2 linked regions of the Styela clava genome follow. The protein of the gene in region 1 interacts with the protein of each later gene in a pairwise test. Links are inferred from orthologs where the notes say so. Each region holds a gene or a part of one and is shown on either strand. Other genes may lie near its edges. The genes, in order: max-like protein X and max dimerization protein 1-like.

Region 1 (15,989 bases):
GTATTTGGGTTTGATTCAATATAGATAGTAATAGTGTCTAATGTCTATGCTTACTCATCTTGCTAGATAGAGATGGTCAAGGCTAACGAAACTCAAAATTACTGATATATTGGAAAGCTTTTTGAGAACCCCTTTTTTTGCTGATTCGCCATGTTTGTGAAAGACAAAGATTTGAACCAAGCTGAATAGTGACATTTCAGACTATTCGAGAGCTCAGGTCTATTGAAGAGCACAGAAATAACCCAATTTTATGATTTGGGCATATAAAAAGTATGCAGGTGCTTGCGAAAGAAGGACCAAGCCCCAGTAAACAAACTTTATCAGCTGTCCATCAGTTGACTATAAAAATGAATAACAATAATTTGCTATTTGGGAGGGTATTAAATTCATGGTAAAAACGCTGCTTGCAATGAAATTATTAGTTTTGGATAATACTGCATACAACTTTCTATACCAAGAGTGCTGCGATGAAACATTTTAAAATTTCTAATACTGATCCAGATTCAGTCCTGGAAATCAAAGTATCTATTTCTATTGATTCCATTACATTTGAACCCACGTACAATTGAACCCATGACAATTGCACCTGTATGCCATTGCACCTATGGAATTTTTTTTGTTTCACGGATAGTTAAACCCATACTAACCCTAACCCATGGGTTTTAGCACCCGCATATAGATTGAATCCGTGGATATACGCATGGGTTCAAATGTACATGGGTTCAAATGTACGGTCACCATTTCTATTTTATATATACCTGCAACAAAATCTCCGAATCCAACAGTGGTCAGAGTAATGAAACAATAATAAACACTTTCTCTGTAACTCCATCCCTCAACAAATGTAAAAATTGCTGCAGGAATGAGTTGGAAAAATATAAAACTTCCTCCAACGATGAGAACAAATACAAAAAATGCATTTACAATTTGTACTTCCTAGATGGTGATAAATATATATTAAGAAATATGATTAATAAATATGAATATTAATAAATATCATTATGATTATTAATAGATATAACTGTTATGTTTATGGCTTACGCTACCTATTAATGACTTTGAATTGACATATCATATGCAGTTTCAGTATATTGTATCAAGTGGAACAATTTTAAACAATATATAAAAAAATGGGGTTTGGGTTTCCCATACTTTTTGGGTCACGGTTAGGGCTGGGCAAAATATTCGAATAACGAATATCGAATCGAATATCAAAATATTCGAATGGCATTTTACTATTCGAATACCCGGTACCACGTGACCTGCGCCGCTTTGCTTCAACACGGAATTCGGAATCGTGAATTGCGCGAGAAATCACAAACGGCGCTCGCTAACATACAAAAGCGACAAATTTTCTTTGCGTTATGATGTTATTTGTTTTCTTTTCACGCCTAACGTATCGTTTCATTTCCTTATTTTGCAAAATAGGTCCTCACCGTTGCTTTAATTTATGAACGTTCTGTAAACTATAAACGTATGACGATGTATTTAAAAAATCGGAAATTCTCATTGCCGTCTGTAACAGTCACCGCGATTACGCGCTCGTTAAAGAGACGTTTTTTCAGCGTATAATGATTTTTCTGTTGCGTAAAATGATCAATCCATGACAACTACGGGATTCCAAAATGTCTTCATATATTAATTTAATTATGTCAAACGTAACTCGCGGTTGCTTCTTCTTAAGTCAAAATTAAAACACCACTTCTCTGAAATGCCACGGCGATCTGTGGACATAAAAGTATGAGATAAACTGCCGGGTGTATTTAATTTTAATACGTATTTTTGGAATCTTGCGAACTCGTTATCGCCGTTAGAAAAATCTCAATAACTGAAATAAAATCCCGTAGAGTACAATTTCAATTCGTACAATGAAAATACATATAAAGTATATCGTTTAATCAATAATACATATTCATCGCCGCGATTAGGCCACTTGATAAAAGAGCCGACTTTTGCAATGAATATTGAGTTTTCTGTTGTGCAAAGTAATCAATTTGTGACCGATAAGGGCATATTTAAAATGTCTTGCTTTATTATTGTCTTCAATTTAACCAGCGGTTGAGTCGACAAAATAAAATCTTCACAATTTTAAAATACGACGGCAATCTGCGGACATAAAGTGTGGTAAAGTGCTCGAATATATAAAGCTTTGATTTCCTTATTTTCAGGACTTCTAACATCAAAAATTCCATAAATTTGCTGTAATATCTCAGGTTAAAATTTATTTTAGCACAATAAAAATTGATTGAATATACATTAGATTGATTATCTTATATATATCATCACAACCCGGGGAAAGTTGTCCGTTTCAAACCTTGTATAATGTTGAAAAGAAAATTTTCGACGGCAATTTAAAGTAATGGATAATATGGCCAATCCCACCCACATTTAACAGTGCTTCGATTTTAGTGATGATATGTTTCCTAAACGCCGGCCAAACATAATGTGTGCGAGAGGCACACGAAATTTTGCGATTTTCAATGTCAAAAAGGGGGTTTTAAACTGTCGCAGGCCTCAATAAAACCCATATTTAAAGTTTTATTTTCAGTATTTTATATTGCCGCTTTTCAATCAAAAAATTTGCGTTGTCCTCAGAAACTCGCCGCCGATGAACGTATATTAATTAAACTATCGCAATTCCGTGTGTGTACATAAATAAAATAATTATCATCGTTAACGTCGCACAACATTGTGGAAAATTTTTAATTTAGAGAATATAAAACCAACATAAAGTTGTTTACGGCCTAAATACCACGTCACGCTGATAATAACAATCGGCGATTATAGCAAAATGCTATTGCACGCGTTATTGGCGACTTTTAGTTTTAAAAAAATTTCAACGGCAACGCACGGGTATACCTAATATATAAAACTTCGATGTCCACCGACCCGCAAGAATTAATACTTTCAAAAAAATGAATCGGGCGGGAATACAGATTACGAACTTTAGGATCGCGGCGACAAAAACAATTAGCGATTTTGATGAATTTAACCAGTAAATAAAAAACGCTTTGTTGTGGATTTTTCAAAGTTTCTTCTAATTTTCGAAGGGAGTATCGACCTCCGACGGACCCCCATTGTATTTAAAAAAAAATTTCGTTATTCGACTATTCGGTATTCGTGAAAAATATTCGAACTATTCGATTCGAAAAAAATATTCGATTTTGCCCACCCCTAGTCACGGTCTCACGGACCCCTGTTTATGAATCTTACGGACCCCCATCCTTACAATACAATTGACATTAATGTGATGGATGAGGTTGCTTTTCACTGCACAATTTATCAATTGTGTTGTGACAAGCAAACTAATAGGTCTGACTCTATCATGTAGAGTCGTTGCAAGAGCCAATAAAATTTCAATTGCCTTTTCTGACAGCAATGGATATTCTTCCGCAACTCTCAACAAAATATTGAGATGGCTTTTTGATTGAAATCAATCATTAAAGTTCAATCAGACTCTTTTCATATCGTTGCGGACCCCCTGTGCAGTCATCAGTTTGGGACGCTAGTTTGGGAAACCGGTTTATATCAGGATGAGATTTCAATATTTATCATAAAGGAGTGGACAGATATCAGATCAACTAACTTTGCAATCATTTAATCTAACAAGAGAGCTATGCTCAAATATATGGACACGTAGCGCCACCCAATGGCAATAATTTTGATGACGTCATAGCGAAAAAAAAAGTAACAGCCTTCTGGAGAAAAATTTTATCTTTAACCACTGGAAATTTCAAAGCAATTGGTCCAGTATTCGAAGAGAAAAGCGATTTTTTAAAAATGGAGACGGAGACAAATAACAATAACAACAAAATTTTGAAACGATCGTTATGTCCACTTCGTGTCCAAAAAGAACTTTTTAAATGACTTGTAAAAAAATCTATGTGTCTACCTCTTCTGGAGCATTTTGTGGTGGTTGAAACTTTTTCAGAACTTCCTCAGCCAGAACAGACATGTATTCTCCTATTCCAGTAAACATGATTGCAAACAAAGGAATTCCAATTAAAGCATAAAATATGCAAAATATCTGACTGTACCATTGTGTTGGGGCAAGGTTTCCATAACCTGAAAATATAGAATTACCGTAATGATTAAAACTTTCATTGTCCGTATGAGATTTGTAGATTTGCATTAAAAGTTAAATATTTTAAGCACAAATCAAAATTACCTTCCTGGTTGGGAAATGCTGGTTTAAAAAATGTTTAACAAAGTGTTTGAGAATCTGACAATGTTGGTATAACAGAATAAAATAATATCGACATTTTCAAGATTTATAATTCATAGGTTGTGAGAGCAGAGTTCAGATATTTTTGAGAAAAATAGTATAAATTAGCAAATCATACCAATGGTTGTGATGATGGTTCCTGTGAAGAACAATGAACTTTGAAAATCCCAATTTGCTGGACATTTGACATTACCCTGCAGACTAATACCATGACCAGAAAATATGGTGACATTCTAGGAAATACAATAATAATAAACGTGAGAATGAAATTTTTTTATTTGATAGGTGGCACAGCCACAAAGAGTTGCACGGAATGTTCCCAGCTCTTTCATCAGGGCAGCTACAGATGTAGCGTTACCAATAACAGAACTGGCCCAGTGGCAGGGTTGAAGGACATAGTTGAAGACCAGCCTGGTATTTTATTATCTGATTTTTTTTTTTAATTACAAAATATATAAATAAAACAGGATTTTCTTTGAAATATTTCGAATTACCTACCAGCAAAGCTTATCACTTATGTATAAACAAGCTGAACAAAACAAATGAATTATAATCGGTGGACTAAGTACCAATTATTTATTACTTGAGAGCCCTCTGGAGGTTCACACCTAAAAAGCCTGCATACTATGTAATATTACCCTGAATTTGCATATTTTACGGTCGAAATATCTGAGTTTTCAAAAAAATATCCTTCCCGATGGCAGGAATTTAGAATCAGGCATTACTTAATCAAAAGCCTCTAAAAGCACAAAAACACTATTATTCCTGAGTTGACGATTATGGCAATATTACCCAAAAACTTTTTTTGTCATGTATATTTAGCCCAAACATAAACCATATATGAATTGAAAAATTTTGAAAGGCAGTATGCTCACCAATAATAATAATCGCAACATATCAGGTAAAGCAAAATTCTTCTCTGAAAAGCACTACTATGAACATTCATACCGATAACAACAATAAAGATATACTCTCTATAAAAGAGCTGATATTAAGAATGAATTTTGTAGTTTTAGAGTCAAATTAACATCTAACCTTAATAAACTTGTTTAAAGTTTCTTCTGTAAAACCTTCATTATTACGTGTTTGATTCAACCATTTTTCTTTAAATTGTTTTGCATCCTTGCATCGTTGTTTTTCCACTGGTCTTTCCATAGCCATGAATACCGCAGCACCAATAATCATATACACAAAATAGAATACAATTAATAAAATCAAAACGCGTATTCTCATCAACATTCTGAATTGGGTTATCCTACCACATTTGACATGAAAATTAACTCCGTAAGTACACTACATTTCCCGATCGCAACTGCCCATGCATATTGTCTATACTTCCATATGCTGCACTGACTAATTGTTTCGATAACACAATGATAGGAAGCTCCGCTTCTGGTACATAATTAATTTGTCTAGAAATGCTATTGTCAGTGACGTAAGAATTTTTGTGCATTGCGCAACATTCCAACTTTTACAGTGGTTTTATGAATTAGTATAATGCATAATATGAATTGATAAGCCAACTACATTTTTCTTTCCTCCATTTCCACTTATCCTTTAATTAAATGCACATCACTACAAAATGATCACAATCATAATAATTGTCCAATAAAGTACTGTACTTTCTCCTTAAGTGATTTTCCAGAAAACCACGTCACAATGATGGAACTGTACCTTATCTCATTATAAGAAAACAACTTGCAATTTATAAGTCGTAAAATTCAAGCAGAATGATATATTACTTAAACGCAAGATTATATTTGTGATAATTAATACAAAAAATTAAATCATTATTAAATAGGTATTTAGGCACACTACATTTAAGAACATTTTCATCAACAAGAAATTATCTATTGTAAATCATATCTTGAAGAAAGGGACTCGATATGACAAAAAATAGCATGAAAATCATTATTTCTGACAAGTCAACTTTTTAAATTGGATCAACTCGAAAATTAAGGAAATATGACTCGGGGGATTCACAGACTTCTACACAAACTGGTAACCAGGATCTTCATTTTTTTTCAGTAAATATAATTATTTTTAAGTGAAACTGGTGAAAACGTTTGCTCGGTATCAGTATAACAAAGTCAATAAGATGCAACAAGATTACATATTATATGCTTTTCCTGTAAGAAAATGAAAAGGAAAGATCATCGCAATTGTGGATTCAACTGCTTTAAAGTATCGATTACAATATCTCGTAATGATTGTGGAGTACATTGTTCTTCAATCCAACTAAATACACAATGGGACAGTTCTTGAAAACTAGCCACGGATATTGATGAATTAAATGAAACAAAAAGAGTATCCATGATTCTTTGAAATACTTCAAATTTTACTTGATCTGACAATTGGTGATTGGAGTTTGCTGGGTTTGATTGATGAGCTTTGACTATTTGCTCATAATTTGATTTCATAATCGATAAAGATTGTTCTTTTTTACGAAGTTTTTCCAAATCTTCTGTCTGTTTCTTTCTCTCTTTTTCCAGATATTCTATGTAATCAATTGATCTTTGAAGCATAACAGCCTTGCTGACTTTTTGTGATCCTACGGTTTCTGAGTGAAGTTTGGGGACGAGCGTTTGAAGCTCGTCATATCCTTTCTTTATGTTGTCTCTCCTACGTTTCTCAGCGAGTGTGTGAGCTTCTCTTCTTTTTTGCCTGTATGCGAAAAAATAACTACATGATCGAGGAAGTTCCGCTTTGCAATAAATAGTCGAATAGTCATATTTTTCTTTCCCAAATCGATGAAGTTTACATAAAGTACAAAAACTTTTTCTGCTACGTTACATGCATTGTTGAGTAAATGGAGTGAGTATATGGAAAATTGACTCTGACAATAATTCAACTCTGATTCTGGTTTGCAAAAAATTCCCATTCCGATCCCAGAAATAAATTTTTGGTGTAAACCAGCATCTTTTATTAATAGACTGTCAGTAAAATAAAATGAAGAAATTTAGACTTATTTTATCACCATTGAAATTTTGCAATTCCGACTCTGAATCTGGGGAATTCAGAATTTTGACACCTGCTCTAGAGAAAATATGGGGAGCTCTCGACTCCGCTGCCCTGGTTACATGTATATAGTTATCATAAGCTATTGTATCACCACATTTGTGGCAGTATGATCATGTATAAACAAACTATAAAATGTTCATTACCGTGTAATGTTACATTATAAACAAACTAAATTATAAATATAAATACAAAAGTTTACTATTCGAAGATGTAACTATAAGTAACATAGCAATTTACCTGAACTTGAGCGGGCGTTCAGAGCTGTCATCATCTTCATCATCTGTGTTATGAACTGACGAAGCAGCACTTGATGGATTAGAAAAATGCAGACTTGAACTATGGTTCGGAGATGCCAAATCTATTTCCAACTTGGCACCATCAGAATCGCTAATCTGATCATAGCTTGAATCCATGAAACTTGATGAAGCAGACGAAAATCCAGAAGAATTCATGACTCATTTAAAATATCTATCACTACAGTATAAAAATTGTCTGTAGTCTGTTGCTGTATTCAGGTATTGGAAACGTAACACAATAATCTGATAATAGAATAATAAAAAAGGTTGCCGACCAACATATTTTGCATAATACCGTGTTTCCCCGAAAATACATAAATAAGACCTAGCCTGAAAATAGGATCTAGGCTAAATTTTAAAAATAATTTTAATATAAAAACCTAAAATAAGACCAAGTCGATAGCGCGAATTTTTTCTTAAATAAAAATGTGTTAGTTATAAGAAAATGAATATCATTTTCATATTTTTCATATTTGAAAATCTCGTAATTCTCTACTTTGTAATTTTGTTTTCGAGGAATAAAAATAAAAAACCATCCCCCAAAATAAGCCGTTATGTTTCGTAAGAAAATTGAAATAAGACATGGTAGCAAACCGCCTTACAATATGGCACACTTACAGACTTAGTTGATGAGTATGGTACCAAGAAGCACTAAATTTAGATCAAGGTTTCTACTAACAACGGGAAAATTCCCCAATACAGCAGTATGTTGCAGTAAGAAAAGAAATTCACTGTTTTGGAAGACTGGAAGAGGAAATATTACATTACATATTTATTCACACATTATAACTATTACTGTATTATGAGCAATTCAAACCTTACGGCAGTACGGTACAGTTATAAAAAGTGTGAGTGTTAATTACGCATATTACAGTATTCAGGTATTTCTAGCCTACCCAACTTGTTTTGTTAAATTTCTCCTTTCGCAGCTTCGCCTTTTTTGGAATTGTTTATTCTTCCCTCACTCATTCACTGTTTACTCTTTCCTACCTAACGAGGAATTCCTCCCGGTATGCCTGTTGGGAAACGCAACCCAATTCAACTTGGCTAGTACGATTACATAATTGGAAACAGGTTAAGCACTCTCGACCGCCATTCCAGGCTGCAGAGCAACTATTTGCTGGCTAAGGAGAAAGGGCAGCATCGTATCTTATCGTTGCGCCACAGGCGGCTGCCTTAGCGCCGGTGATAAACCGATTGATTTTAGTCAAACCGTAAATGTCAAACAACAACCATCTTCCTGGAATTTCACACAAAAATCAATCATTATTCAGTTTATCAATCAATGTGAAAAAATACGGGATATTTATTGAGCGATATTCGTTTTCAGTGTTTCAAAAATGAAAATATGAAACATACATAAATATATGGAATACAAGCAAAAACTTAAGTTACCCTTTTTATCAAATAGACTACTCCAACTTTTGACATTGGATATTTCATCGCAGTAAATGATGCAACTAAAACATAATAAAGTAACCGAGAAGTCAAGCATAGGCGCTATCTATGTTCACCACTTCTGAATTTCCTAAGCGATGAAGTTATAGACTACTTTCATTCAAGGCGATTTCAATCATTTTACTGAATTTTATCCTATATTACAGCCACATACTATTCATGATTTATCAAAAAAAAAAAAAATTATGACATCACAAACGGGAACACAGCTCCCTTTTTGTCGATTTTTATGAATGAATCGATGACGTCATATGATGAATGCTACGCATCGAGTCATACAGTTGTTACGGACGCTGTTTGAAGTAAACTATCACCAATACTGTATTTTAACAGTATTTTCTGACAAAAAATGGCCGTGATATTCGAAATTACGAATGATTCAGCAATCAAGCAACGAACAGTTGGAAGTTTAGTGATCGTGGTTCTGGAGAAGTAGTGAAATACTGAAAATAATCAAGTCTTTTATGTAGGAATAAAAATAAACAATATGGATTCCATTGTTCCTACTCAGTCGTTGCAAGCTATATTTACTCCAATACTATCACAGGTGCAGTGTGAATTTTCTGTTTTTTAGGATCCTGTATAAATCCAAAAACCCAGAATTTTAAAGTATCAGTGATGAGCAGTGTTTGCGAGGCTTGAGTCATTGACTCGAGTTGCACTCAAGTGACCTTTTTTAAAAGATTTTAAGTGACTCAGGTCCTCTAAATATAATGACTCGGACTCGTCATCAGCTAACCATCAGTAAGACTCAGTATTGACTCGAATCAAGATTCCGACCCATGATTAGCAACTTGGGGTTTATGGACTTTTACCTCACTTCATCACCAATGGGAAAAATGGTTTGAAAAAGTACTGATTTAGTCCTGTTGTTACTGATTTTCGGTTAACATAGACATTAATACTTTTCAGATCACTGAATTGTTGATTGTGACATCTGAAAAATATGAGTCAGAGACATCAGGAGGGTCGATAAATATTTTACGACCATTGGTTTCTATGTCAGAAGACATTGTTGAGAGTTTAAAAGACTTGACAACGGTATTCAGTTTTGTATTTAGTGTCATTGATTTGCATTGTGATTGCAACGACTGCTATATGTCAGCGCCCAATGTGGCAAATTTCATGTCAGATCTCCAAGCCATTCTCGCGACTATCACAGATTTGATTTATCCTTTGTCTATCGTCAGATAAACTTCTTTCCTATTCGTGAAATAAAATAAATTTATTCTGTTAAATATTAACGTAGTTAAAGCATTTCGAAGTTTGACAAGAGTCATGAACAAGGCATTCCTCGAAAGGTTTTATTAAATCAATTATGAAATCTTTGAGTTGTCATTTATTAGAGATAGGGTGGGTGTTTCAATAGTCATGTGTAGAGGAACGTCGCAAAGCAGTTCAACTTTATAAGACCAACTATATAAGACCTGTGCCTAAAAGTATTGTAAGGCACCAGGTTTTTTTGACTTAATAGGTACCTAATACTGGATAATAATCATTGGTAATGGTTTGTATATTTGTATTTTTTATATTAATTAAAAATTTTTTAATAATTTCCTGTAGGTTTGCCAACAAACTGTGACACTGGAATATGCGAAGGATAATGTTGTAAAGAAAGAAATAGATTGTGGGTCTCAGAATCTACTTGTTGCCGGAGAAAGTTTAGTTCTGTGTTGTCATGTATGTTGTTTTATTATTGTATAGGAACTCTATCGATTATATTTCATTGCCACACTTAAATATGTCAAGAAGAATCCGCTTAAAAGGAATAGTTTTTAAAAAAAAGATCATCTGATTCTGAATCGTCGTCTTCAACATATTGAGAATGTAACTGCGATTAGTATTAGTAATGTCCAAAAATTGCATCTGCAAAAAATTGGAAATATAGTTTGAGAATGGAACATAATTTTCAAAAAAATCAGATAATCAAACTGAATATTTTTGTTGTGGATGTTATTAATAGATACAATTTATGTCAAATTTTACGAACTATAAATTAGGATGTATTTTTAAATAATGTAAGATTTTTTGCAGTATTGAATGATTTTCCATAGAAGTGTAGAAGTCATAATACTGAAATCTGATTGATATTATTTCTACAGATATTGTGTTCGGCTACAAAACCTGATTACCAGCTAAAAACACCAGTTCCTTATCAGAATGATGTTCCTGGATGTCTTTCTGAGTTGAATCAAGTAAGTTTTTGGCTAATTTTGCTCTATCTACCGTAATGGTTGTCTGAGAAAGTGAAAATTAAAACTTCTGGTATTATATTAATGCACTCAGGATGAAGTTTTTATTTTTTTGTGGATATTCGCGCAAAGCGAGTTTGTGTGCACTCGCAGAAGAAAAACGAGACTGATATCCAAGCAAAATTACGAGTGATTACATAACCTAAATTTTATGCTTGTATACAATTGATATTGAAAAGCTTTCGTAACATATTATCCCTTCTTTGTTGCTGTGTTCAATAGCCAATATATTATACAACATACTACTGACTGATACATAGACTGGCATCACTTTTTTAATGGAATCTCATTTTGTCACAGTGTATGATGCATTTACTTCTTTCTATTGATGATGCTGAAGTTCGAAAAATTGCAAGTTATGGTTGGTCCACTTCTGAATGTCTTGCAACTCTTGCTACTGCTGACACATTGCAAAATTTGAATGGTATGTATGTATGGTTATTTGTATTCACATATATAATATAGAGAGGAAACACAGAAATATGATACAAATACTCAACTCGGCGTATATGACTCGACAAGCACATGATTGATCCAAGTATTGGGAATACATTTACTATTACACATGTGATTACCCTGTGTGGGATCGTAGGTTCAAATCTTGTAAGAGATAATCATATGCGAGAAGATTGTTGGACTCCTCGCTGTTGTGGGGTGGTTCACATAACCATTTGCCAAACAAATACCTAGTTAATATTCTCCTAAATGACACTACTACTAGTAACCGGACGGGAGTCCGTGGTTTGCCATATGATTAAGTCGTCATATAAATAAAATGTAGGATAAATGTGAAAATTCTACAATACACGACATTGCTGAACTAAGACAAAGTTTTACGATGTGTAGTTCAAAATTGGTGTCGCTTCTTTAGTATGCTCGTTTTATTGCTTTTTTCAGTTCATGGTGCATACAAGATTTTTGATATTACAAATAAAAGATTATGTTAATTTTGAGATATCGAAAAATTCTAATACTTACGGTAAAAGTAGAATAATCACATCAAATATGTTTATTCATATTTCAGATAAGTTCCGAAGCTTTGCTATTCCTGCAGCTGATCTCCACAGAGCTGCAAGTGCAAGATGCAACGACTTATTGGATGATAAATTACAATACAAATTGAAATGTTCTTTGTCAACTTTAAGACAATCTCTTCCCATGCTAACAGCAGCGTTGCAAATGGCAATTAGATATCCCGACAATGATGAAGTATTAAAAGGCAGAGATTTCTGTGTAGAACAGGTGAATAGATATAAAAATTTTATGTGTTGACTAATTGACTTCTAGGGTTTAACTTCTGTACCTAATTATACCTGCTGTTTTATATGTGGCACAAGTCAATTCATATTTATCCCGGGGTAGAAGAGAGTCGACAGGATTTCGCCGTCATAGAGCGAAGCAAAGTCCATGTCGTATGTATACTCTTTTCAGATACATGGACTTGATAGTGAAGAAAGTCATAATGAAACATCAGTTGAAACATGAAACATCCCCCCCTCCTCAATGACGAGTAATCCAGCAATCCCGATTCTCATAATTATTCCTCACAATATTTGAACCTACGAATCTTCGATTATGGTACGATGCTAGTGATGTTTCAGTGTCGGCTTGTAAGTCTTCCATCGGTAATATATTGGGTTAGATAGGGCTAAATATCTTGCTTTGACTAAACTCACAAGAAGGATATTATTTTCCATGATACTATAAAAAGCAACAGGAACAGCTGGGTGTGTGGGAATTGCACACAGTGAGAGTTCTTTGAAACATTAGTTTGTTATATAAATTTTGCGGATATGCCAAAATCTTTGTAATATGTAGATGAGGATTATTTTAGTAGAATTTTTTTGCTCTGTTTTCATAAAAGAAATATTCAATTTTATCAAAGCCTTAAATTTTTGACTGAAAGTTATTCATCTAGATTACATTAAAATTGAATGTGAAAATTAATACCTGAAACCTAAGCGAATAACGTATCTTGTAATATATTACCCAGCAACCCAATTTGGGTAATTTATTTTCAGGTCCGGAAAGCAATCGCAGACATTGTTAAAGTTATCACAACTAAAAATATTCGGAAATCATTTTTACCTGGTACGAAAATTGGTTTATTTTATGAAAAGTTGAATGAAATCAAAAAAATGTTGTCAGCAGAAAACAGGAAGAAAATGAATTTGATGAACCTGCATACCAGTGTTGAAGGTTTTGTTCAATATGCCATGGATCTTTCTTTGACTTTAGTGAAAAGGTGAAGTATTTTGTTCAATACAGTTGAAATTGATTTTTTAGTTCAAGGTCGTAATCCAGAAGGGCAAAACTTGAAAAATCTGGTTTTAGAAAATAAAAAAACAAACATGTTTTTTTGATTTATTGCTTTACGCTATGATTAGATATCAGCCTTAATATTTTCAAATAATAATGTACAATCTGTAATCTTGTATTTGATTTCATCACTCATTTTATATTTTATTTTTTTTACCAAAACTTATGAACAAGCCAACATTTAGTTTTGTAGAACACTCCGTTGAAAAAATAGGGGAATCAATAGAAAAAACTGTGACAGCATATTTTATAGAATATTATTTTCATATTTATTCCGAGAGAGAGAGATGATAAGAAGCCTTATTCATATGGGAAACCTCAGCTTGTTCGGTCCATGTTGGATATCGGAATAGTTGCCCTGTTATTTGTCTTGGATGCATGGACTTGATGGTCGGGAAAGTCGCAAATATCTGGTGGTTATGTGAACCACCCTACGTCGTCAGGGAGTCCATCCATTCTTTCACACATATTTATTCCTCATGGGGTTCAAACCTGCAAAATCACACAAGTCAATCAGATGTGTATTTCTAACGTTTCGCATGATGCGCCAACTGCCGAGCCTGACTATACAAACTATTTTTGACCAAAGATTTATTTACAGTTCATCTCCACTTGAATTGAAATCCAATGCCATCGTGACCTCCTGCAGAAAAATGATGCGATCAATGCGTGACTTGGAGAAAGCAGATGAGGCATTACACACTCAAACTTCAATAGAAAAAAATTTGCGACAAGTTCATGATGAAAAGTGCATGTCATTGAGTGCCATCTCACAGGGCACAGTGGCAGCGATACTTCATGCTGTTACGGTTTTGGTAACGCATATATTTAGAAGTATGGATGAACCACTGGTAGAACTTATCGATAGTTGCATATCTCCTAAAACGATCACACAAGATAGCATGGACAAAATGCAACAACATAAAGAATCAGAAATTGAAAAAATAAAAGAGTTGACAAAAGTATTTTCAAAGCATACTAACGATATAACAACAGCCGCAAGGTTTGCTGCATCGTGCAGTCAACATGCAGCAGTTTATCATAAATATTCAAAAGTTTTGTTCAATTTTGATCAAACTTCAAGGGCAATCATTACAGCCACTTCTCAGTATACCAAAGACAAGAAAGACGAACCAAGCGAGGCTTTGACTCAAAATGATAAAATTTTAGATCTTCAAGACAAATGGATTATTGTACTCGGAGATCTTATTCATCTTATTGTTGCATCTTTGGATTTGAAAGGATTGCTGGATGTAATAGTGGATGATGTTGTGAGGTAGGCGGTTTCAATTTATTTGTTACACAATGAAAATTTTGCAAAATTAAATTGAACCATTTTCGATCGAGTATGGTACATCAAAATAAATCATGTTTTTCACAGTTGAGAAAAGTCAATAATTGGGTTATCCATATAATGGAATATCCATATTTGTCCCAGGGAGAGAAAAGCCAAGATGGCTTAATAATATGAGAAACCATGGCTTCTTGTTACCATGGTTACCAGTCCATGTCGGGTATTTGAATAGGTAATCATTTCTTTGTTTCAGACGCATGGACTAAATAGAAGCCATAACGGGCCAGCAGTTATGTGAACCACACAACAACGTCGAGGTGTTCGGTAATCCCCTCACACATAATTTTTCCACAAGGGATTCAAACCTGCAAACATGCGCTGGGTAATCAGAGGTGCGATAGCATGCTAGTTAATAACGCTTAGTATGGTGCACCAACTGCCGGGCCATATATATATATATGTTAAATAACATTCTCTCATCTAGTTACCAGTCAGGTGTTGGTCTGGCTAACAATATCAATTGACTTCGATGGTGGGGGTGTTCGTTAAATAAACTACTCTGCAATAGCAACCTCAAACGTCTGCAACGTCAAACCTCTGACTAATTAAGACATTTGTATCCATACCGCATAATCAAAAGTTGAATTTTTGTAAAATGCAAATTGACAAATTTAAGATAATATCATTAATATGTTTTCGTAGAAAATAGATTTTAACACAAAACTAACTTCATAAAATCAATTTTTAGCTCACTTGAAAAATGCACAGAAGGAATAGTGAATATGAATGAAGCACAGGTTGCAACAAGTCTTCAGAGATGGATGGGAAAATCACGGTTTTTAGTGAGAGTCGCAAATGCAGTGGTATCTTGTAGCACCGAACCTTTATACAGAAATGGAGTTCTTTCACATGTTAAGACTCTGAAGCAAGTAAGGAATGAAATAATTGATTTTTTTTTTACTTTTTATATCCTATCTTAAAAAATGTCACTCAAATGCTAGTCGACTCAAATGGAAGTGTTTGAGTAACAATGTTGAGGAGGCTAGACTAGTTGAATCAACTCGAGCTGGACTTTAGTATCAATTTATCAAAGACTCAAGTCATTCGGACTCGTCATCTAATAA
Region 2 (17,041 bases), on another chromosome or scaffold:
ACTTCATTCATATTTATTCACGGCTTAATAGATAGGGGCCGATGATCAGATTTACACAAATACAATATTTTCTGACAGAGAAGCACAATGACATAACAAAGCGGAAAATTTTTTACACGATACAAAATATATATACTGTATATAGTAATGAATAGTGGTGAAAACCTATTTCACAAAAATAAGTTTCAGATTCAGCAAAGTAATCTTACTCCTATTTAATTTTAACTGATAAAAAAGTGTAATTGAGATTATGCAGGACTAGAAATGAGAAGAAAATGACAAAAAAAGTTAAGATCATAAGGAGACAGACAGGTGAGAATTTAGTACACACAGCTGTAAAGTTAGAGCGAAACAAATGAGGAAAACAGAAAACAACAAAAAGGCTTCACACATACTTCACTGCATGGGTTAATCTCAAAAATAGCAATCCAGTTGCTTTTGCCATTATTAAAAAGTAAAATCAATTTTCAGTTCAGCAAGTGGGTAGGTCATAATAACATATTCATATGATATGACTCTAATCTTTGTCACATGGATTCTTCACAATCACATGGGAGGCCAAATTTTCAATATCAATTTGAATTTTTAGAATTCACATAATTATATTTTGTTAACCAAAATGGGGTTATTGTTAAGAATAAGGGAATCTGATATTGTATTGAATTAGCCCATAATCAAACACCATAAGCCTAAATTTTTTATATTTTAACTGAAGAACTATCCTCAAAAAGTTTACCTGGTTTTGCATGACCCAAAATTAAATACTTAAATATATTAGAGGCCTATAACGAGAAACCTTGACAGTTGACACTTTTGTGAACACATACCATACGGGTAAGCATGTAGACATCCTATTGTTTTCAATACTTAGCTTTCAAAAGAGATGCTGTTTACAGGGTATCATATATCCATAGGTCTAATCATGATAAGCCCGATTTATAGAATCTTTGTTGGAGCTTCACAATTATTAATAATACTACATGTAGTTGATGGGACCACATTGCTGAAATAACAATTATGCTGAATTAAGATCTCTTATTTTTGTTACAAATAATTCACATTTACCAATGAGAGTTTTCAGAATCAAAAAAGATTTTGAGGTGTGTTGTTAACTGTAGCGAATTTTTAATCAACAGTGGACTTTTTCACATGTGTGGATATCCGAGAATTTTTAGTATTAGCCAAATAAAAGGAGAAGAATTGAAACATGGTGACTGAAAATTTTTTTGGGTTAATTGAGCTTGGGGATTTAAAATGAATCAACAGTTATTATGGCAAGATAATTATATAGCTTATTTGACAGTCTCGGGTGGGAATGCCTGAAAAATTGAACAACAAATTTCACAGAAAAACTGGTTTAAATCTGAAAAAATACAGATTTGTTTAGAAACGTTTTATTGGAAAGAATTTTCTGTCATAAATATCTGAAGTTTTTATAAATGTGCTAAAGTAAATTTTGCATATGACACAATTATGAAGCAATTTCAAATAATAGAATGAATTCATGTTTTAAATTTTTCAAGTGTTTCACATATTCTCCTACTGAATATATAGTTTCTCATACTGGATATATAGTTTTCAAAATTCTGTTCAAGGTGTTTTACAATAGAATTAATTCATTTTTAATGCAGAATAATCAGTACCTAAGGTCCTAACCATGCTTCATTTGAAATATGAACTTATTAAATTGAACCCCTAAAACTAGGATGTATATCTTTTAGATATGGAACATCCCCAAACCTTAAATCTATATTTTTATTTTTTATTTGTGAATATAAGATAGTACAACAAAAACAATAAAACACGGAGAAAATAAAGATACATTTCATTTCGCACACATATAGTTTTTTATTTGTTAGGGGTATTAAAAATAGATATTATTACAAAACGACATCAGAATAGTATCATTATGTAGTGATAAAGTTTTACACAGGTACAAAAAATTTGACAAAAATAAGAAAAATACACCCAACAATGAGAGAATTACAATAAAGAATAACGCATCACAAGCTAAAAAATATGACCTTTCCAAACAAAAATTAGACATTCTAAGCTTATTTCATGAATATGCTAGTTGCTGATGTATTGACATGTGATTACATTCTACATAAAATATACGGAACTGTCTACAAACATACCTCTATACATAAATAACACTTCGAACCACAATCAAAACTGAATTTTTTTCAGAACCACTTGCCCTAATTCAAGTTTACCATCGAGCCAAATTAGGCCCGAGGGTCATATTATGACTGCTGGCATACAGATCACTCCTATAGTAATGAATTATAATATCCACAATCCTCAGGTTTGTGCATTAACAGGTTTCAATAAAGAGTTCAACTATTCATAAAACACTTTACATAAAATAGCGATAGATTTACTTTGGCCTATTACACCTTACGCTGGCACAGGGGCCGGCTAATTTGCATATTTTTTTAAGGATCCAATAGTCAAATCCAATTGATTATTTCAATTGTTAACTTGTAATGCGACCACAAATTTGGATTAGAATAAAAAAAATTGGGCATAATGACGGTTTGTTAAACCCTGAACCAATGGTTTGAAATAATTTGGCGCATTGTTAAGTGAATTACCGAATAGACATATAAAAAATAAAGTTTTGGTTGATATACACAGGTCACAAGACAGTCATATGTATTACCTAAAACCAATTATATATATAATTTTTTTTTTCAATATATTAATAATACACTCATATATAAACACAATTTATGATATTTTAGTTTCGGGAACTGAATATTAAATAACATTCTGTGTCGCCAGTGTCAGTTGGACAAATGCATAATTTAGGCACCAAAAATTCAACACAGTTTTCCCTTGAATTTGAATTTAGAAATTTAGAACTGGAGACAAAACACACAATACAAATTTGAATGGGCCTGAATATATTCTTTTCAAATTTTCACAGTGATTCTTTGGCCGCATTTGGTGTGGAAAATGTCTTGAAAGGCGATAGGTGAGTTTACCTGGTTGGTTGGTTGGCTCGCTCGTAGGGCAATAACGATAGCATTTGCATAACAAAAAATCTTTGCGACATGAAAATACATATTCATTTTTATTGTAAAGCAATACAGTACTTGGAATTTCGAGACTCGAGAATGTATCGACATGTATACGATACATATTATGAAATTTTTAAATGCAAGCTCCCATTTCCATGGCGAAGCTTGTAATTACAGAAAGTATTTTCAGCCAGAGAAAAACAATTAATAATATGCAGTTCAAAAACAATTATAATAAATCCTAAGCATGATAGGCCTAGGAATCTTACACTTATAGGGTTTTTATATGAATCTTAACTACTTCAACAACATATAAAAACGAAGAATAGATTATTCTCCTATGCTATTCATACATTGATGTGAGAAAAACCACAGCAATATAGAAAAGTGTTGATATACCACTAATAAATTCCGTGCCCCAAATAGTCATTTATTTTTATTTAAGTACATTGGCCTAATGAGAGTAAATAGGAAGCACAACAAAACCATAAAGAATTTCTAAATCAGATTTCAATAAATGAAATAATAAAAGCGGATAACTCCCTGATTCAATTTGCCTAATATTATTAGGGCATGGGAAATTAGCTTTCGCTTGTTAGGAAATTTTTGAAGGTCAATAAAATTCATTTTCTTAATAATATTAATATATAGAAATATATATTTATTTTTAGAAATAATCAGAGTCGCAAATGTAGTCATTACTGGAAGTGACGAAGCAAAATGTTTATGATTAAAAGGAAAATGTTGACCTGGTTCATCAGAGAGACATGCTACGTAGAGACAATCAAAATTTCAGGCATGCTGATAAGCATACCGTTGGCATCGTTGTTGGCCGCTGTCATAACTTGGATTAACTCGTCGCTGCTGCTACAGCTTGTGTCCAAAACATCAATAATTTCATCTGTTCATTAAAAAATACAGAAATTTACATTAATTTAAAATATAATAAAAACGCTAATCAGGTTGAGGCTATAGAAACAAATAGAAACAATTTAGATCACCAAGTCTTATTAACTATACTATTAGAACATGGAATTACACCCATTAAAACTTTAATCAGTCAAAGCAATGTGTAGTTAAGATCATTGCGAATAAGTTCAATATAAGCCATATTACTCTCCTCTAAAATAGAGACAAAACTAATTTTGATTACTGATAATATGTGGAGGATAATGGAAATTTCCCTACAATGATAATTTGGTATCCAATCTCATGATTTATCAATAATGACCCATCATATAAACATTTAGAAAGCAATGTTTTAAATGAATAGAAAACGTGCAGGCTTAAAAATGAATTTCATAACCTCGCATTTGTGACATTAGAACGCTGAAAAACTTTGGTTAAAATACAAGTCAAAATGATTCGCATATAAAGTCAATAGCCACACCATTTCAAATACTGATAAGATCAGAAATGATCTTTAATTCAATTCCATTCTGATAAAATACAAAAACATGTAGGCCTACTGGGAATTTCTCAGTCTAATAAGTTTTCCTTCAAAAAATGTTATTATTAGGGAAAAATTTGGGATACGCAATTCAGTATTCTGAATCAATTCATATTAAATATAGAGGGAAATTTAAAAAACCTAAGTTTTATTTTTCCAATGTTGAACAATACCACAGTCCGCAGAATTAAATTTACAATGAAGAACATTTTATTTGACATTGATATAATATTTGTCACACTCAAAGAGACAATTGACCTCATGAAAGGCACTAAATATTAATAGCCTTACTCTGTTTAAATATTAAACTACTGCATATCATCAATGTGATGCAAATGTTTGATAGCATTCGCACGCACGCAACAACTCGAAAAAGAGAGAATAAGATCTTCAGATTACAAACAAAATACCAGCTGACTCAAGTCTGGACTTGCCCAAGTGTGGCTTTAAGTAAATATGCTTAGGTGTGTGACGTTTGTACGCTTCGTTTGTACGCTTCGATGACTAACACCAAAATTACTTGACGTGCCATGTGACCTACATCAATTGTGTTACAAAGAAACGGGAACTTGCGAGTTGTGATCCAACACGGTCCAAAATATCCTTTCAATAGGTATATTCGATAACAAATAATACTATGATACACGAAAATTATCATTGTCCAATGAGCATTGCAAGATGGTATTGTAATTTCAGTAATGTATAAGATTGCCTTGCTTCTGAGAAATGTTTCGAATGATGTTGTAATATGTAGCAACACAGTTATAAAATTTAATAACAAAAATAGGACAGAATAATAGACAATTTTTATTTGATTTATTATTAAATTATGGCTTCATTGGCAGAAATATCCATTGATTATCTGTTTATGTTAAGTATTTCAAAATTTGAATGTTTCATTCTGAAACCAAATATTCAAAACTTATTAACTGAAATGTTCAAATGTTTCTGCAGAATACAAAATGTTGTGCATAAAAACATGGTGGAAGCAGAACCTTTTGATAAAATTAACTGTCTACTTACAAACTACTTGAGGGAGTATATACTAGTGCATAATATAAAACTAAATATAGCAGGCGGTTGCTGAAAGGCTTATTCAAATTAATCGCTCTGATGAAGTTTGTCTGTATATACATTCAAAATGTTGGCTTGCCATATTGTTCGCTTCTTGCTAGTTGTGCATGCATTGCTATGAACCTAAATAAGTTGTAACAAAAATACACCTACCTTTATCAGAATCGTTTGAGCACTCAGACAGTGAAGTAGATCCGGTTGAATCTCGACGCAGTCTTTCAAATTTTATTTCCAACCGAAATAAAATTTGCTTTAATTGTTCATTATATTTGCCGAGTTTGTCTTTTTCTTTCTCATAACCAACCTCCTTCCCCTCAAGGTCCTAAAATATTAACAAATTTAAAGAATGATAATTTTTCATAATTATTTTATTTAAGATCATCCATACATATTCAAAACTGCTACCAAAAAGCCATAACAACCTTCAGCCTTGCGAAAGTTTTCCCAGCATAAATTAGTCTGTATCTAACTTGAATAATTTCACAGCAAGAGAGTCTATAAATACAGGAAATTACATTTTTATAATATGTACTATCAAAAAGTATTACGAATTAATTCTGAAAATCCAAATTGAAAATATTTCTTCCACCAACCTTAATCAATGAAGTAGCTTTTTTCAACAGTCCTAAGGTAGTGTGCCTGTTTGAGTCAGATCCAAGAGGAACGATTGATTTGAGGTTATCGAGGCAGTTTCGTAGGTGGGCACGTCTAAATTGTGTATCAAAATAATACAATCATATATCACAGAAACAATTAAAACCTTTGCTCAATATTTGAAACATGCCAGGGTGGGGAAGAGCAATTTTAATGAATGCATCAGTTTAGGTCAGTATTTATGAATTTTCATTACCGGTACATGGATAGTCGAGAATGAAGTTACCACAACACAAAATCTTGGTTTAATTAAATAGTCGGATGATAATCCAGCCTATGGGGCTAAAGTAACTCCACTCACCTATTTTTTTCAAGTTCATTATGGGATGTCCTGAAAACAAAAAGAGCATTATAGTACTTCAGAAATACCATGTCAAAAATGTTAAATTGATATAAAAGGATAATTGAATTCATAACTAGAACAAATATCCGTATTCAATATTATTCAAGAGTCTAACAGATTTTTGATCACAATATTCATACCTGCTTTGACTTTTCTTTGAACTTTTCAGTCGTTTTTTAGCCGGTTCATCGTCACCGTATTTAAAAGTTGATGCATATCCATGATCTGATTCTGTATGAAATAAAAAAAAATATTTGTCACCAAAATCAAAATCTTTTTCAATCACAATATGAATCATTATATGGTATGACCCCAAAAACAGAACTCAGAGAAGGAGAGAGAGAAGATAATTCTTATGCAAAGCCTCGTAGATTACTACAACTTTTGGGTACAATCATACACAAACTGAAGTTACGTGTTCAGATTTTAAAATATTTTCGTAGAAGTAATTAAGAAATTTATGGGTTCTGTTTTTTGAGTCACCCTATATAAGGTACGATATTGTTTATCAATGTTCAGACAAAAATATTTTTTAACCAAAATCTTTAGTCAACATGCAATATGCTGAAATACTTATTAAATGCAATATGCTAAATATATTTAAAACCTTGCGATGATCTGAATACAGAGAAATACCTAGAAAGTTGAAAGTTACACCTAAAGTACAGCACACTATCCAAATTCCAAGAATTTCCCTCCATTTGGCTCAATAAAACAAACACTCTATGTGTCTCACAAACGAGGGGCGTCTGGGACCACGTCAGATGCTTCATATCGTGCCATGCTTGTTTCAATAAAAATCTAAATTAATCGAGGCCGTCACATGACCAAAATTGCCGTTTTTTGCTAAAAACTCTCGAATGCTACGGTAGAATTTTTTTTCCTTCTGTAAATCGGATTATTTTTTCCCAAGGAATTCAATGATGACGTTACTAGAGTGCGCTTCTTTGTAGTATTTTGCGCAACTTCATTATACTGCATTATTACCGATATTGAGGGACAACAATGTCCAGACGTCTCCCAAAGAAGGGGTGTCTGATCATCTGTAAAATGGGTTTCTCTGAAACGGGACAATGTCACGCGATTTGTATAGTGTGCTGTACTGTAATGTGAATTATTACATCATGCCATAAACAACTGAGCAACATTTGCTGAATCAATTGACACTTCTGGAATAGTTTGATACGTTACTTAAAACTTGATGAAAGTATTTATTGTAACAACTGCAATAGTCAAAACGCTCTAATGCACGTTGCAATACTGTATCAATGCGTGTATAAAAGTTTTACAACTTTTCTTGACAATACCACCAATATATAGCCTATTATAAATATTGATAATGTATTTGATCAAAACTGAATTTTATTGAGTGCAGAAAAATAGAATGACCGCACTTACTGACTTATGACCTGTGTGAGTGACTTTTATAAACTGGTACATTTTCCAGTTTTATCAGAAATATAGTTATAACTGATATTGATCACACAAGTGTAAAATGCAATACTAGAATATATCACCAACAACAACTTAATGTGCTAATAATCAATGAGAATAAAAAAAGAAAACTGAAAAATATCATCTGATAAAGGTCTGTAATTTCTCGATTTACATATTTAAAATGAATGGTATTGAGGAAAATATGCACAAATTGATTGTCAGTATATTACCTCTTTGCCTTTTACTGTCACATTTCTCTAAATAGTTTGCAGCTTCAATCAATAACTCCAACCCCAGCCCCTTCGTATCGTCATCACTTTCGCTGGTCGGAGATGCATTCATTGATCGCAACATGATTAACAGTCAATATTCTAAGTTACTTGCTTAATAAAATAGTTTCACGTTATTCCACTAATTGTAATCAAATATTTCGTTAAAAATAAATCTGCTATAAATGCTCTAAGGTCGCCCGCTAAACCTCGTCGTGTCAGGTTGTTACCTCTGGGCTAAACACAAAAACAAAGAAATCGTGACGTAAAAACTCGGTAACCAATCAAATTCAAAGCATTTCTTCTCCAGTGAGGCCACATGTCTCGCACGCCTGCGCCTACTTTTCCTTTTAAACGCGTATCGAAGAGGCGGGGTACCGCTGCTAAACAATAGTGGAATAAGAGAGACGCGAGCACAAGGTCGCTATCGCTAAATTTTGAAACCCCTGTCCGCCATTTCCAACAGAAAATCGGCAATGCGGAGCGCGTCGCTCAACACGAAGAAACAAACACGCGACACCCACGCCTCTCTGCGAAATCAGCTGACTGGTGTATGATGATTGTACGTCATATAAGACTCCAATCAGCCTGTGTTGTTGTTCTGTAGACGGCATCCGTCCGCTCCGAGTGTTTTATGGGGTTCCATTACATTTGAACCCACGTACATTTGAACCCATGACAATTGCACCTGTATGCTATTGCACCTATGGAATTTTTTTTGTTTCACGGATAGTTAAACCCATACTAACCCTAACCCATGGGTTTTAGCACCCGCATATAGATTGAACCCGTGGATATACGCATGGGTTCAAATGTACATGGGTTCAAATGTACGGTCACCGTTTTATGGCATACGTTTTCCGCGCTATAAGTGGAGTGTTTGCTTACAAAAAAATTTCACGCAATGGGATGATTTGAGGATTTAATGGAACCGAATCCAATTAGAATACGATTTTCGATTACTATTAATTCCATCAAAGCCAACGCGAAACCCACATTTGTTCAATTCGTTGTACAGCGATGCCTCTAACCTGACAAGAATCAGCATTTTAGCCACGTAGCAACATTTTGTAAGTTCTGTTGGCTTGTTTGATAGTTTCTGATGGCGAATAGTAGGTCATTTACCATCATAAACCGAATTTGGACAATCATGCCGTGAATTCCGATTTATAAAGCCGCCTTTACGCTTATCTTCCCCATCGTGACAACGATGAGTGAAGTTCCAAACGTGCGAAGCCGGCCGAAACGAGATTTTATTTCCCAGATTCATACGCAATAAGAACTGCTAAAGGGATATCACACTACCCTTTCTAAAAATCTAATATTATGGATACGAGAAAGTATCCCACTTCGGGGCGCCGACTACTTACCACTCACTCAAAAGCAAACCCATGCGCATAACCGACATGACGGACGGGTAATTTCACGAAAGCCGTAAACTCGAGTAATTGAAGCACCAAAAAAAACGCATTGTCAAAGGCCCGACTCCAGAAAGATTTCACCTGCAACGTGCGCCTCAAAATAGTTCCCAAGCAAATATGCGTGAAAAAGGCACAATTATTGCTTCAATTATTTCATTCATAAGCTAATACCATACAAGCCATTTAAGATTTAGTCTATTGATTGAAATGCATGTATTCTGATCAAAGTGTCCGCTCTGGGAACAAGCGTTTCGGGAAAAGTGGTACTATACAAAATTCGGAAAATGCGTGAAAATCTCGACAACTGATGCAGATATGCCAGGAACGTGTTAAATAGGGACACTAACAATTTATATTGCAATTGGAAGGCATATTTTCAAAGTCTGCTCAATACTCTTCTTCTTCAGCGCTGCCGTCAGCCGCAGAATCGACACCAACCTCTTCATAGTCTTTTTCCAGGGCAGCAAGGTCTTCGCGAGCTTCTGAAAATTCTCCTTCCTCCATGCCCTCGCCGACGTACCTTCGAAACGAAACTTCATTTATTATCGCATTTCAATCTTAAAAACTGGTTATGAATTGACGTTTCAAAGTTTGCATGAATGAAATTCGGGGAAAAAATACTAAATTGAAAATATCCGCCTTCGTGTTTGAAAAAATCTACATCCTACCTACAAACGTGCATAAATTTCCTACCAGTGAACAAATGCTCGTTTTGCATACATCAAGTCGAACTTGTGATCCAGACGTGCCCAAGCGTCAGCGATGGCAGTCGTATTGCTGAGCATGCAAACTGCACGCTGTACTTTTGCCAAGTCGCCACCCGGGACGACAGTCGGAGGCTGGTAGTTTATGCCCACCTTGAAGCCAGTTGGACACCAGTCGACGAACTAAAATATAAAAAAGATTAATATCTAGCTACCACTTATTCGCAACACACTTGACATACCTGCACCGTGCGTTTAGACTTGATATTGGCTATTGCTGCATTCACGTCTTTCGGAACAACATCACCTCGGTAAAGCATGCAGCAAGCCATATATTTTCCATGGCGAGGATCACATTTAACCATCTGGTTAGCATGGTCAAAGCAAGCGTTTGTGATTTCTGCTACTGAGAGCTGTTCGTGGTACGCCTTCTCAGCCGATATCACAGGGGCGTATGTAACTAGAGGAAAATGGATTCGTGGATATGGCACTAAGTTAGTCTGAAATTCTGTCAGATCTACGTTGAGTGCGCCATCAAATCTCAATGATGCAGTGATAGAAGACACAATTTGGCCGACCAGTCTGTTCAGATTGGTGTAGCTTGGGCGGTCAATGTCCAGATTACGTCGACATATATCATAGATGGCTTCATTGTCGACCATGAAAGCGCAATCTGAATGTTCCAGAGTTGTGTGAGTGGTCAGAATAGAATTGTATGGTTCAACAACAGCGGTCGAAACCTTGGAAAACATAAAAAAATTATATTGGGCACTGCCCCTTGAAACACCCAAATCCAATAAGCCTACTAATTAAAGGCCAGGAAAAAAGCCGACCTGATAACGCTTTTGTCACATTGATAGATCTTACCTGGGGAGCGGGGTAGACAGCAAATTCTAGCTTCGACTTTTTACCGTAGTCTACAGAGAGTCTCTCCATCAATAAGGAGGCAAATCCTGACCCAGTTCCGCCGCCAAACGAATGGAAAATGAGAAATCCTTGTAAACCGGTGCACTGATCAGTGAGCTTTCGAATTCGATCCAAAACGGAATCAACCAGTTCTTTGCCTAAAAATTCTCGAAAAGTTAATAATCGTCAAAAAAAAATACTCTCTAGATGAGACTACCTACCGATGGTGTAATGTCCACGCGCGTAATTGTTCGCTGCATCTTCCTTCCCAGTAATCAGTTGTTCAGGATGGAACAGTTGTCGATACTTGCCGGAACGGATTTCGTCTGTAATGGTTAGGTTATTAGACACGGATTGTATGTTTTAAATCAAGTTATCTTTTATATTTTATCATTTTACCTACAACAGTTGGTTCCAAGTCCACAAACACTGCTCTCGGGACATACTTTCCAGACCCCGTCTCGCTGAAAAAAGTGTTGAACGAATCGTCGGCCCTGCATTCTTTGGTGGGATCAGAACGTGCTGGTATGTTACCATCTGGTTCTATACCATGTTCCAGACAATAAAGCTCCCAGCATGCATTTCCAATTTGAACTCCGGCTTGTCCAACGTGAATTGAAATACACTCGCGCTGTAATACAAATTCACTCCTGACAATGATAGGAACTATGGCCTTATATGGTATGTCGTAAAGAGGCTTTGGGAATTTTTAAATTTCGACGTGTTACGAACCACCGTGCCTTCCACGCCCGCGCCAGACAGTTAAAAAATCAATAAACTAGTTGTACATTATTTCACCTCAAACATTCCTTTCAGCAGCTTTGGCTAGTGAAATAAACCCACATAAAAATCCCACATGTTTCGCTCATCTAGCTGACTTTTTGCATCAGTAGCGATTAGTAACTATAATACTCACCATCTTCCGATAACCTTTCAACAACGAACGAAAATAAAACTAAACAGATCCGCGAACGGGGTTAGACGCTCGACGTGGCAAGAGGAGATGCGTTTGACAAAACTGTTCTTATATCGGACAGCGAACAACAAGTGATTAGTGCTCAGACAAAATAGTGATGTTGTTTATCAGTAATGATTACTGCCAAGCAGATGGCTTTCTTCCGAATGTGGCCAAACTTTCATACTTATCCTACACAGTATGTTTATACGGATGTATCTGATGTAACATGGGGGTGTTCAATATATTTATGGCACAATCGAAATAGAATTTCAAGGCTAACATAGATATACTCTTTTGAGTTGAGTAATGAGTTTATGTATCACCAGTATTTCTTAAACGTGTTCGATCGAATCCTTGGGGTGCGGTGAAGATGTTCGAAGAAGGTCCGATGAAACAGTTTTCTATCATGGAGTTTCGTATGAAACAGCATTTTAATTGTGTGAAATTTAATCGCATGTGTTCAGACTTTCGTGTTTAAACGGTGACGGCACATTTGAACCCACGTAAATTTGCACCCGTATATCCGCGGGTTCAATGCAATCTATATGCGGGTGCTAAAAGTTCAAATATCCGTAGATGCAAATTTCCATATGTGCAATAGTATGCACCTAGGTGCAATTGTTGTGGGTTCGGGTTAGTATGGGTTCAAATATCCGTAGATGCAAGTTTCCATAGGTGCAATTGTCGTGGGTTCAAATGTAATGGAACCGTTTAAACAACTCATAAAATAGCTGTCTCTCCATGTTCAGTATGCACAGCAGGTATAAATTTATCTGGACGATTTTACTTAAATCCCAGTACACTTGTTTCGTCACGGATATCGCACACTTGGAGTACTTCTGTGTGATATCGTTTTAGGCTGTGTTTGCAATTGGCTTCGAAATATCTCAGGCTGCTACGAAAAACCTCCAAGGTGAACGACGCCTTATTCATAATTTACTAGTGAAGTGTCGCTCAGTTTCACGGACAAGTTCAAAATCAGAAATTGATGTAGGCCTACACAATGAAGGCATGTCCTCATCGATGTAGCCTACACGAAAGAATATGAAATAAGGGCGTGTCTGAAACTCATGACATCATAGAATTTGCAGCAAAGAATATATCATGGCAGAGCTTGGTTGAAATTATTATAACCCGCCATGGACGACGGCAGCGAATTGGTAACGTGCATCGCAGCTAGCCTTGTTGTATTTTCGTAAGTTTTTGTATTAAATTTATGTAAAGCTAATTTACATGCTAATATAGCTTACGTACCGACATAAAAAAAAACGGCATTCATACCCTATTACAGTGGTTCTCAACCGGGGGCCACGAAGCAGTTCAAGGGGGGGGGCACGACACAAGGCTAATAATTCATTATAAAGCGACTTCGTTTAACACATGTATGAACCATAGTTATCCTTCCTTTCAAGTTCTATTCAGCCTGTAATTAAAAACAAAAATGGTGAAATTTGTAGTGCAAGTAACTACAGGCCTATTGCAGTGGCCTCTGTCTTATTTAAGAATTTTTGAAAAACACATTTCAAATAACACTGAGTCTTACTTAACTACATCTCACAACCAGTTTGGTTTCAAGCCTGGTCACGAGACTGACATGTGCATTTTTACAATAAAGCATCTAGCTACTAGCTACTTATTATTCCAAAAAATCATCACCAGTTTTCATAGCTTTTTTGGATGCCACTAAAGCTTTTGATAAAGTTAATCACTGGACTCTATTTCGTAAATTAATCAACAGAAGAATCCCCAAAATATTTTTATCGCTGATTGTACACATGTATCGTAATCAATCCATGTTTGTTAGTTGGGGTAGCAGTGTGTCAGATCCTTTCTCTGTTCATAATGGTACCAAGCAAGGTAGTATATTAAGTCCATATTTATATGCTGTTTTCATGGATGACCTTTCTGTTAAGTTGAATCAATAGACCATTGGATGTGTAGCAAATAACAATATTATCCATCATTTTTTTATGCTGATGACATGTGTTGCATTTCACCTTCAGCCAAAGGTCTTCAACGTTTACTTAACATATGCGATAAATACTCTATTGAACATGACATCTTGTACAACTCGAAAAAATCTGTTTGTATGTGTATCCAGAATAAAAAGTTTAGGCTGAATAATTTGCCTGATATCAAACTTCGTAATTCTGTATTGACTTATGTTTCGTCCACTAAATATCTTGGTGTTTTCCTATCCAGTGATCTTAGAGATGACCTTGACTTGAATCGTCAGTATAAATCAATTTATTTTATAGCCCATACAATTTGGAAAAAATTTGTCAATTGTTCCACTACTGTGAAAAATCTTTTATTTAGGACGTATTGTTGTAGGATTTATAACTGCCAGCTCTGGTTGTTTTTCAATAATTATAGTTATAAAAAAGTTAAAATTTCATATAATAATGCTTATCGCGTAATTCACTGTGTCTCTAGATCTGATAGTGTCTGTCACAAAATGGTATCTGGGAACATTCCCTCTTTCGAAGCACTCCATAGAAAAAATCTGTGGTTGTTCATGACGAGATGCAGGAACTCCAATAACATTCTATTACTATCATTATTTGATTACCAGATACTGTTTGTTACGGGCTATCTTAGATTCTATACCTCACTTTTGGTCTCTTAAATTGCTATAGTATAACTCTTTTTTGAGACTTACTGTGAATCTGATTGTCATATCAGGTATTTTATGTATTTATTGTGTTACTTTTGTTTTGCTTATGTTTACTTGTTGTGTTGTTTTTATATGGACCACGGCGGTCTGGAGTAATAAACGAATTGAATTGAATTTGCATACTTTAACTTAAAAGAAAATTCCCCGTTCACCTCAGTTTTATTACTTCAGTCACTAGGTGTATCCAAATTTTTATGTATGCGAATTGTTTGATCATAATGGAATTTTGAATCTACTAATCCGAATAGTTTGTTAGTAGGCCATCTAACAGCAGACGGGCAGTTTCGCGAGACTGCGAGATAACGGTCGGTATCATATTATACCTGCAGAAGCCTATATGTAAATTCCCAATCCCCAAAATATATTGAGCTGCCTTTTAGACAGTGTGTTCGTTTTTAAGACGTGTACAGCAAATCAAGTGTGGTGTTTTGTGTAAATACTTGTTCTCATAACGTTTTTTAAATGTCTCCAGCATTAAGGAAAATGTTGGGATAGCATAAGTTAGAGTCATGTACTTTAACACAATGTTTTTCTTGCAAAAAAGATCATGCCCAATCGGAATTCCTGGTTCTTCTGGTAAAAGCCTTCATGGTAAACCTGGTTTTAAACACAAGCAAAAATAGCCCACGACTAACGGATCTATACCAAGAACATTGTTCTGTAAGATGCCAGGAAGGCGAATGACTTTTTGGAACATGTTTTGCGTTGTATAAAGTGATTGGACAAACCTTAAAAACTACTGATCATGACTATTTTCTCAAAATAAGTATTAAGTTTATTGAATTCTATTTCGATTTTGAATGGATCCTGGATTTTCAAGTCAGAATTCGGGTCCAATTCAATTGTAATGTAGCAAAAATAAAAACTTTTTTTCTAAAAAGCTCAATTATGCGCCCCGTCTGTAAAAAGGTTTCAGAGATTTTGATACAACTGTTGAGCCTGGCTTGGATAATGCCCACTGCATAAAATACCTAAACAGAGGATAATAAACAATTGTATAATGAATATTTATTAAAAACAAGGTCACAAGCACTCGTAATCAGAAATACGAACCAAGATTATTTATACATGGCCAAAAGTATGCGATTTATCATTGATGTATGTGCAAAAATCAATTCATTCATGAATGAGCAGTAGCAGTATATATTCTGTCAACTGGTTTGTCCGTAAAAAACATGGTATTTAAAATAATTCACAAACAAAAAGAAGGCATCACATAATCAGACGGTACAAAAAATAAAAAAGTAGCACGCAATGTCATATTTTCGTGCCACCATATTCATAAATCAAGCAATCACGTCAATTTTGGTTGGAAAAATCAAATATTTTTAGTAACTAATTCTATCATAGTTTTGTAATAACGTTCATTGTTTTATTATTTGTCACACAGTAACTTCCGATAGCGTCACTTCTCGAAGACGATCCGGTACGATCTGTTTCTGAACCGGATGTATCCGATCGGAAGCAGGGTTTTTCAATTGGAGATGTAAGCAGAGCAGACTTTGAGCCACATGATAAATCTCTAGCAAGGTAACCTCCCTCAACAGGTAGTGTGTCATTAATTTCAACGTCGCTTTTTTGAGAATCGGATTGTATAGCATATGCGTAACTGTCTCCAACTTGGGAAATGGCGGAGGAAGACGCCATGTGTGATTCGCTTCCGTGATGCCCAGCCCGCGTTGTTGTTTCTAATCCATATCGCTGAAAAGCGCTTCGTCCGTCGGCAACAGATGACACAACGGACCAAAGCGACGTGGGCCGATTCGATTCTTCGCCTGGTGGTTCAACAACGTTCAGTCGCACTGTGCCTTGAACGGCTTGTTTTCCATTGTATGTTTTGTACGCCCGATGATGATCTGGAGTAGCCGAATTGGTAGTTTGTAAACTGTACCGACCGCCACTTTCAGTCGAAAAGTCGCCTTTCTTCATTCCCAAGCTGAATTCCGGTATGGGTGGGTGAATTGTTGATAACTCTTCCTTGCTGTTGCAAACCATCATGCTAGCGGGTGATCCATCGTCACTTGAATGATATGCGTTGCCATATTTTTTAAAGCTTCTTCTTTTTGTATTTCTGCTCTGTTCTTCTGCTGATGTTGACGTGAGGGAATCGTCGCGAAAAACG

What was found.
Region 2: the proteins of max-like protein X (region 1) and max dimerization protein 1-like interact in a two-hybrid assay, tested with the Homo sapiens proteins (2 studies listed by BioGRID and IntAct). The link is inferred for Styela clava from reciprocal best matches to the Homo sapiens genes MLX and MXD1.

Annotation. Positions count from the first base shown.
Region 1 is NC_135253.1:16,284,356-16,300,344, forward strand, and holds max-like protein X, read right to left. Parts: upstream 8,044-15,989; 5' UTR 7,699-8,043; coding exon 7,484-7,698; intron 6,890-7,483; coding exon 6,379-6,889; 3' UTR 6,043-6,378; downstream 1-6,042. Other genes in the region: uncharacterized protein LOC120326434, read right to left, coding at 759-936, 3,893-4,065, 4,344-4,458, 5,261-5,464; uncharacterized protein LOC120325823, read left to right, coding at 9,488-9,547, 9,913-10,041, 10,564-10,680, 11,103-11,195, 11,553-11,676, 12,277-12,494, 13,274-13,497, 14,173-14,847 and 1 more. UniProt on the Homo sapiens protein: Transcription regulator. Forms a sequence-specific DNA-binding protein complex with MAD1, MAD4, MNT, WBSCR14 and MLXIP which recognizes the core sequence 5'-CACGTG-3'. The TCFL4-MAD1, TCFL4-MAD4, TCFL4-WBSCR14 complexes are transcriptional repressors.
Region 2 is NC_135257.1:12,294,284-12,311,324, reverse strand, and holds the start of max dimerization protein 1-like, read right to left. Parts: upstream 8,870-17,041; 5' UTR 8,339-8,869; coding exon 8,215-8,338; intron 6,779-8,214; coding exon 6,688-6,778; intron 6,536-6,687; coding exon 6,506-6,535; intron 6,259-6,505; coding exon 6,144-6,258; intron 5,873-6,143; coding exon 5,704-5,872; intron 3,928-5,703; coding exon 3,797-3,927; 3' UTR 1-3,796. Other genes in the region: tubulin alpha chain, testis-specific-like, read right to left, coding at 10,062-10,194, 10,368-10,561, 10,621-11,118, 11,246-11,442, 11,506-11,610, 11,684-11,915, 12,201-12,203; neuroligin-4, Y-linked-like, read right to left, coding at 16,264-17,041. UniProt on the Homo sapiens protein: Component of a transcriptional repressor complex together with MAX. In complex with MAX binds to the core DNA sequence 5'-CAC[GA]TG-3'. Antagonizes MYC transcriptional activity by competing with MYC for MAX binding.